Macaca fascicularis: one gene and its partner. The protein of the gene in region 1 interacts with the protein of each later gene in a biochemical or structural test. Links are inferred from orthologs where the notes say so. Each region holds a gene or a part of one and is shown on either strand. Other genes may lie near its edges.

Region 1 (3,745 bases):
CCCACTCCCTACACTTCCAAGTGCTATCAACCTTCTTTCCAGTCACCAAACAGGAGCATAAGGAGTAGGAAAACTGGAGGAGAAGGTGAGGAATCCCTTTAGTGGTTCTTGACCCCTGCTAGAGCCAAGCAGCTCTCCACCACTCCATCCTACAGGTCTACCCAGGCAATCCCCATACTCATACCAACCTGCACTGATCTGGAGTAACTTTCTCCTCCTTACCTTGCTTCCAATGGTGACAAGCCCTACAGCAGATCTACAGGCAGACCTATGGACAAATAAACAAACAGGAGAATGTGGAAACTGATCTCCTGGTGACAGACCTTGGTCCCTGGCCCCGATTCTTGCCTTTCCAGATACATTTTGTCTAGTGTTTCCCTCCTCCTAGTCCCCTCTCCCCCACTGCTTTGTTTCAGGGCTACTTCTCCTTCTCCTCCCTATTGCCCACCATCTTCCTCTTCAGTGATTGCCCTAGAATGTCCCTCATTCAGATTAGACTAGGCTTAAGCACGAGAGCAGGACAAGCAAGTGGAGAGTGAGAAAGGCAGGTCTTAGTATTCTGTATCCCCACAACTTACCAAGACTCCCAACTAAATCAGCAGCAGCAGGGGGTGGGGTGGATGGGCATAACTAGTAAAATGACAAAACAGAAGAGATGGAATTCTCTAGTCAAAGTTGCTCCCGTCCCTGTACCTTTACACCAACCTTAACAGATACAGGGCAATTTTCTCTTCTTTGTAATTTCCTAGTTTTAAGTTGGGTGACCATTTAACAAAACTTCACAACTGACAGTTCCACAGACCGGTGGACAGATCTACCTACAGGGATGCACAAAAACAGAGACCAATAAATGAAGACACAGGAGACAGTTGAGGTTGTCTTTGGTAGAGACCAGCACCCAGGGCACAGATTCTTTCTGGATACAGATACCTGTTCGGCAAACATTTTCTATCTCCCCTTTTTCTCCCACTCCTAAATCTTCAAGCCCCTCTGCTCTATTCTCAAAGTCTGACAATTCCTATACAGAGACAACTCAAACATCCCTACAGGGTAGTAGTAGTGGTGTCAACAGGGATGAAATGCCTAGACAAACCACGGAGGCTGGGAAAAAAATGAAAAGTATTTATTTCCATATTTTATCTGGGTTCCTATGTTTCCTTCCTCTCTCCCAAAGCCTATCATTTTCTGCAACATAATGCGGGTAAGGGAGGACATGTTAGGAAAGCTGGCAGAGAGTTCTGGAGGCTCCCTTACACTCCTGCCTACTGTAATCTTAGCCATCTACAACCTCCAAGTACTGCCTCCAAGTACTGCCCACTCTGTAAAAACCATGCCAATTTTCTTTTCCTTCTCCTCTCCCCTTGTGGTCTGCTGTCCCCTACAGATCTGTACAGAAACATGGAGTGCTGCAAACTTAGGAACAGATCTACACATACACACCCAAAGAACAAATGAAAGACAGAGAGAGACAGACGTGGCTATTAACGGTCAGACCAGTAACCAAGACATGAGGCCCTTTTCGAATACAGAGCCTTGATTATCAAACATTTACAACCTCTTTTTACATTCTCTCTCTCTCAGGGCTCCCCAGACAACTGTCCTCGCCTATGGAAGCAGCCCTCTCTTCCTCTTATCTAGTCTGTCTTTTCCCTGCTAGAAGCTGCAACCTTTTTCTTCCCAAACATGGTCTGAGGTGACCGAGTGTATGGAAATCAAGCTAGCAAAAGGCAGATCATTTTTTTTTTCTTGTTGTGAGCCATTCCTATTACCCGTCTCTCTCTCCTCACCGCCCGCCCCCCATGACCAGGTCGCGTAACCAGTGTTCACCTCCGATAGCCACATCCACCCCCAAGCAATGCCCACTTTCTCACCGACCTTCTCTGCTTGGATCAGAGGTAGTTTTCTTGTTTCCTTGCCTCGAGGTGCTGTGTCATACAGCAGCAGGAACAGACAGTCAGACACAAGGACTCGAGGCAATGGCGGCGGCTGTGTATGGGTACTGACCCGGCACCTGGGACTCAAGACGAGATAACCGCTTTATCAGATTAAAGACTGCGATTGGCAAACTGTTGTCAATTTTGGTATTCTTTTCTCCTTCCTGTTCCCAGGGCTCCTCAGAACCTCGAGCGTAGTTACCATTTAACATCTACCTTGTCCTCCGCAGACGAGGTTCTTCCTCGTCCGGGTTACCCACATCGGCAGCGGGAGGAGCTACAGCGTAGTTTATGGGGATCCGGCTTATGGAAGCGGAGTGATATCAGGCTTTGTCTAGCGCCGCGACTCTTTCTGTAGGCGGGCTCCGAGCCCTGTACCCTGTGGCCGCTTCAGGTATTGGAATGCGCAGGGGCGAGTTCCGGATATAGGGAAAACGGCGCTGGAACAAGAGAGGCATACAAATACCAGAGTGTTTCTGTATTAGTTTCCCTTTTGCGGGAGCTCCCCGCAGCAAGCCTACCGTTCTTTCCTGAACTGAAATGCACACTGGTTTTCAGCTGTGGTGTCAGGAAATCTCTTCTGGCCGACAGGAGGAAGTGTTCCAGTCTTTAGAAGTTCATCTCTCCAAACACAGAGGCCCACTGAAATGGGCGGTCTCGGGGTGGGGCCCAAGGTAGGGAAGTCGGCAAAGAGAGTCAAGACTAAGATAGGAGAATACGTACTAATCGATTCCGCAAACTTTGTGTTCCTTCGAGTCCCCCCTCCCAGCCCTTAATTTTCGTTTTCTTTTCTTTTTTTTTTTTTAAGTTCTGGGATACATGTGCAGGATGTGCACGTTTGTTAAATAGGCAAACGTGTGCCATAGTGGCTTGCTGCACCAATCAACCTATGACCTAGGTATTAAGCCTGGCATGCATTAGCTATTTTTCCTAAGGCTTTCCCTCCCCCCACCCCACCCCCTGACAGGTCCCAGTGTGTGTTGTTCCCCTCCCTGTGTCCATGTGTTCTCATTGTTCAGCTTCCACTTATAAGTGAGAACATGCAGTATTTGTTTTTCTGTAGCTGCATTAGTTTGCTGAGGATAATGGCTTCCAGCTCCATCCATGTCCCTACAGAGGACATGATCTCATCCTTTATTATGGCTGCATGATATTTCATCGTGTATATGTACCACATTTTCTTAATCCTATCATTGATGGGCATTTGGGTTGATTCCACGTCTTTGCTATTGTGAATAGTGTAGCAATGAATATACGTGTGCATGTATCTTTGTAATAGAATGATTTATATTCCTTTGGTATATGCCCAGTAATGGGATTGCTGGGTCAAATGGTATTTCTGGTTCTAGATCTTTGAGGAATTGCCACACCGTCTTCCACAATGGTTGAACTCATTCACATTCCCACCAACAGTGTAAAAGTGTTCCCATTTCTGCGCAACGTTGCCAGCATCTCTTGTTTCTTAACTTTTTAATAATTGCCATTCTGACCGGTGTGAGATGGTATCTCATTGTGATTTTGATTTGCATTTCTCTAATGATCAGTGATGTTGAGCTTTTTTCCATGTGTTTGTTGGCCGCATAAATGTCTTCTTTTGAGAAGTGTCTGTTCATGTCCTTTGCCCACTTTTTAATGGTGGTGTTTTGTTCTTGTAAATTTAAGTTCCTTGTAGATTCTGGATATTAGACCTTTGTCAGATAGATAGACTGCAAAAATTTTCTCTTCTGTAGGTTACCTGTTCACTCTGATGATAGTTTTTCTGTGCAGAAGCTCTTTAGTTTAATTAGATCCCATTTGTCAAATTTTGCTTT
Region 2 (3,745 bases), on another chromosome or scaffold:
CTTTAGTTGGATTCTCCAGGATCTAGAATCCTCGCTATACAGACAGCGTCCATTCACTGGGTCCAGGCGCCAGGCCAGTGCGTTATGTGCTCTCTCACTGACACCTCACAACAACGCTGTGGAAGAAGATTTATCATTACTTCATTCTACAGATGAAGAAACTGCAGCTCGAAGAGGCGAAGTGATTCGCCCAAGTCACAGAGCCAGTTCGTGGCAGAGCAGGGATTCATACCCAGGCCGGCCTGCCTCTAAGCCTGTGAAGTGGGGAGAATCACTGACAAAGACACAAAGCAAAGATCAGTTCCGCCTGTGCTGGGGGGCGGGGGGATTCTCTCCCTGTTGCTTGTGATGAGTCATGGAAAGCACAGGAAATTATTGTACCCGCCACTCTTTCTGCAGGAGCAAAGATCCCCCAGAGATCATCAATGCCGAAGCCCACTGACACCCGCACACCTCATCCCACGCTCCAACACACCGTGTTCTGCCCTGCAGACACCCCATACCCTGGAATTCATACTTTCCAATTGAGGAGATTGGGTCTCTATTCTTCGGACAGGGAAACTGAGGCGGATGGGAGGCGGGGCAGGAAGAATGGTGCCTGGGCATCCATGACTGGGCTGAGACTACAGTTCATCTCTCCAACCTCTGAGTCCACGATCTGACCTATGCCCTGCACGGTGGCATCACAGCCCAGAGAGGTTTAGGGCCATGTCCTCGGTCCAGCATGGAGGACCCATTTTCAACTAACAGTAAATACCAGGGCATCTTTGTTGTTTTAAGGATGGAAGTTTTCCTCTCAACCCTTATTGGCCACGTCTGAGCTTATGGGCTGTATCAGGAGGGCTACTTCTGGGGCAAGCTGACGTCTTAGGCGCTCTGAGAAGGTCCCCGCACTCTCCATAAACTCCAAGAAGAGCACCTCACTTCCTGGGATGAAAACCCAAAATCCACTCCAGCCCAGACAAACCTCTGCTGCCTTTGGCAGAAGAAAAGACTGTTAGAGGAGGCAAAGAGAAAATGGGAGGCGGCATTTGTGAGGATGGCGTGAGGCTTCTCTGAATCCTATTCAGAATTCCTGACCAGATGGCCACTGGGGAAGGGAACAGAGAACCGGTTGGCGACCCATAGCTGTCGCCCATGGTATCCAGGAAATCACTGACAAAGGCACACACAGCTGCACAAACACAGGTGCGGCCACTCTGGACGCTCTGCTGCCCTCGGGGTTTCAGGGGCTTGACAAGAACAACAGTCACATTGTTACACTCAGACAGAATCACAAACTGACCGTTAGGGACAAGCACACACCAACAGATGAGCACCAAATATGACTCGGTAAGGGCCCCACGGCGAGGTGCTGACACCCAGCACCCTCCTGTCTGCCCTGCCCGCACGGTGCCCTCACACCGGTCTCCCCAAAGGCCCGCGGCACCTCAGAGCAGCTCTGCCCACCCCATGGGCATGTTTCCGACGTCCAAACATACAGTTGTACTGTCACAACCATCCAATCACAAACTGTGACAGATACACAAACTGACGCCAAACTGTCCCACAAAGAAACAAGGGAATGCCAACAGATAATCAAATGTAATTTACTCAACTGCGGCGCAACCCCCTCCACCACACACACACATACACGCGCGCGCGCACACACACACACACACACACACACACGATGACACACATTCCTGTGTCCCCCTCGATGTAAGTGGCCTCACCTCTCGCTGGGCCCCAGGTGCCCCTGCTGGAAGTGCGGAGGCGCAGGGAGTCCAGGGTCCGGGCTTGGGGTCCCAAGTTCGTGATCCCCACCCTCCCCCCGGGCCCTATCCCTGCGGTGCCGGCCCGCAGCGGACTCACCGTACGATGCCGAACATGACGAGCACGTTGCCCAGCAGCCCCACGGCGCACACGGCCGAGTAGAGCGCAGTGATGGCGATTGCCAGGGCGAGGGACGAGGCGCTCCGCGCACCCGGCGGCCCCGACGCATTGGCGCCAGCGTTGGGGAAGGCGCTAGGGTAGGCGTCCGAGGCGTTGGCGAAGAGCGGGGGCTGCAGCGCGGCGCCGGCGGAGGGGGCCGGTTCCATGGTTGCCGGCCGCCCCGCCGGCCGGCTCCGCCGCGTCCCTCTCCACCGTGCGCCCTGGGCGCGGGGATCCGACACCAAGGGAGCGGGAAGGTAGAGGCCGCGGCCCCGACGCCGCCGGCTGCCGCGTCCCGGCCGCCCCGCTGTCTCTGCGCCTCCTCCGCCTGCCTCGCACCCGCACCGGCCCAGCCCCCGACGTCCACCCGCTCTCCTCGCCCGGAGCGCTGTGAGCCAGGAGCAGCCGCAGGCTCCTCGGACGCGCCCGCCGCGCGCACCACGTGGCCCGGAGGCGGCCGCCAGTCTGCGCCCGCGACCGGGGGCGGGCGCTGCACCACTGGCTCGGAGCTGGGCAGGGGAGGCCTCCCGCCCCCTCCCTAGGGATGCTCCGCCGGCTCGGGTGCGCCCCCGTCCCAGCCTGGACTCCCCTCTCACCCCCTTGCTACTTTGGTGTCAGAGGGACCTGGGTGTGGATCCCGCCTCCCGCCCCTGCACTAACCGGCGGAGTGACCTTGTGTAAGTCATTTAACCTCCCTCAGCTTCATTCTCTTTGTGAGATGAGGAAAATCGTACCACCGCCCTCAGAGGGTGATTGGGGAGACTGAATAAAATGATTCGAACAAAGAGCGTAGCGCAGTGCCCTGCGCACAGTTACATGCTCCGTAAATCACCCGTATTATCCGTGCCTTTCTTGCATCCCATTCATTCGCTCAACAAAAATTTTGAAGGTGCCTAATAGAAAAGCCAAGTGTTTGGGGGGACCCTCTAGTACACAAAACCAGATGCAGCCTCTGCTTCCTGGGGCTTACAGCCCAGTGCAGGAAAGAGAGAGCAATCCTAAAATGCCATTAAGATATAGGTACGAATTGAGAAAGTGGCAGGGTGTGCAAAACGCAGGGGTCAGGACAGCTTCCCTGGGGAAACGACGCTTGAGGGGAGGGGTGAAGTTTGAGGAGGAACTAACTTAAGGAAGAAACAAGGGAAGAGGATTCCGGATAAAGGAAGCAGAGGGACTGAAAGGAAACCAGGAAGAGGAGAAGGCAGGAAGTGAGGGGGCGATGAGGTGGTGGGCAGGTTCTTGCAGACGACCTTAAGGAGCGCTCTGGCTGCAGTGCGGGCCGATAGAAGTGGGGCACTTGGCTAAGTCATCCTTGCCACACCCCTTCCAAGACCTAACCATTCCAGATTAGAGCCATCCTTCTCCTTGGGGTGCCCAGCCTTTCCAGAATATTTTCTCTACCAAGCATTACTCTGTTCCAGGCACTGTGATAAGCACTTTATCCATGCGCCAACACTTTGGAGTAGCTTCTGTTATTATTGTTCCCATGTTACAGATGAGAAGACTGAGACTCAGCACCAGATTATCCCACCTATCCGAACTGGTCTCCCTCCTTAAAGGGACTGATTGACCCCCGCATCCAGGAGAGGGCTGAGGTCACAGCAGGTGCTCAAGAAATGCTTTTTGGATGATAAAGATCCCAAAGGGAACTGAAGTGGAACAATATTAGGGGTTCTGAGCTCTAGGCTCTGGGGCAATGCTCTTGGCTCTGTGTGTGGCTGGACAAAGACCCCTCCCTCACGTCACCCTCTAGCTTGAGTCATCCATCTATGTGCAAGGCTCCTACCCTTTCCCGGAAAAAAAGCCAGAATTCCCAAGCTCACCCTCTTCT

Evidence for each region. The genes of interacting proteins can lie anywhere in the genome.
Region 2: the proteins of GPRASP1 (region 1) and OPRD1 form a complex in vitro, tested with the Homo sapiens proteins (2 studies listed by BioGRID and IntAct). The link is inferred for Macaca fascicularis from reciprocal best matches to the Homo sapiens genes GPRASP1 and OPRD1.

Annotation. Positions count from the first base shown.
Region 1 is NC_088395.1:109,044,942-109,048,686, reverse strand, and holds the start of GPRASP1 (G-protein coupled receptor-associated sorting protein 1), read right to left. Parts: upstream 2,201-3,745; 5' UTR 1,876-2,200; intron 819-1,875; exon of another isoform or gene 579-818; intron 269-578; 5' UTR 223-268; intron 1-222. UniProt on the Homo sapiens protein: Modulates lysosomal sorting and functional down-regulation of a variety of G-protein coupled receptors. Targets receptors for degradation in lysosomes via its interaction with BECN2.
Region 2 is NC_088375.1:206,216,790-206,220,534, forward strand, and holds the start of OPRD1 (delta-type opioid receptor), read right to left. Parts: upstream 2,307-3,745; 5' UTR 2,082-2,306; coding exon 1,855-2,081; intron 1-1,854. UniProt on the Homo sapiens protein: G-protein coupled receptor that functions as a receptor for endogenous enkephalins and for a subset of other opioids.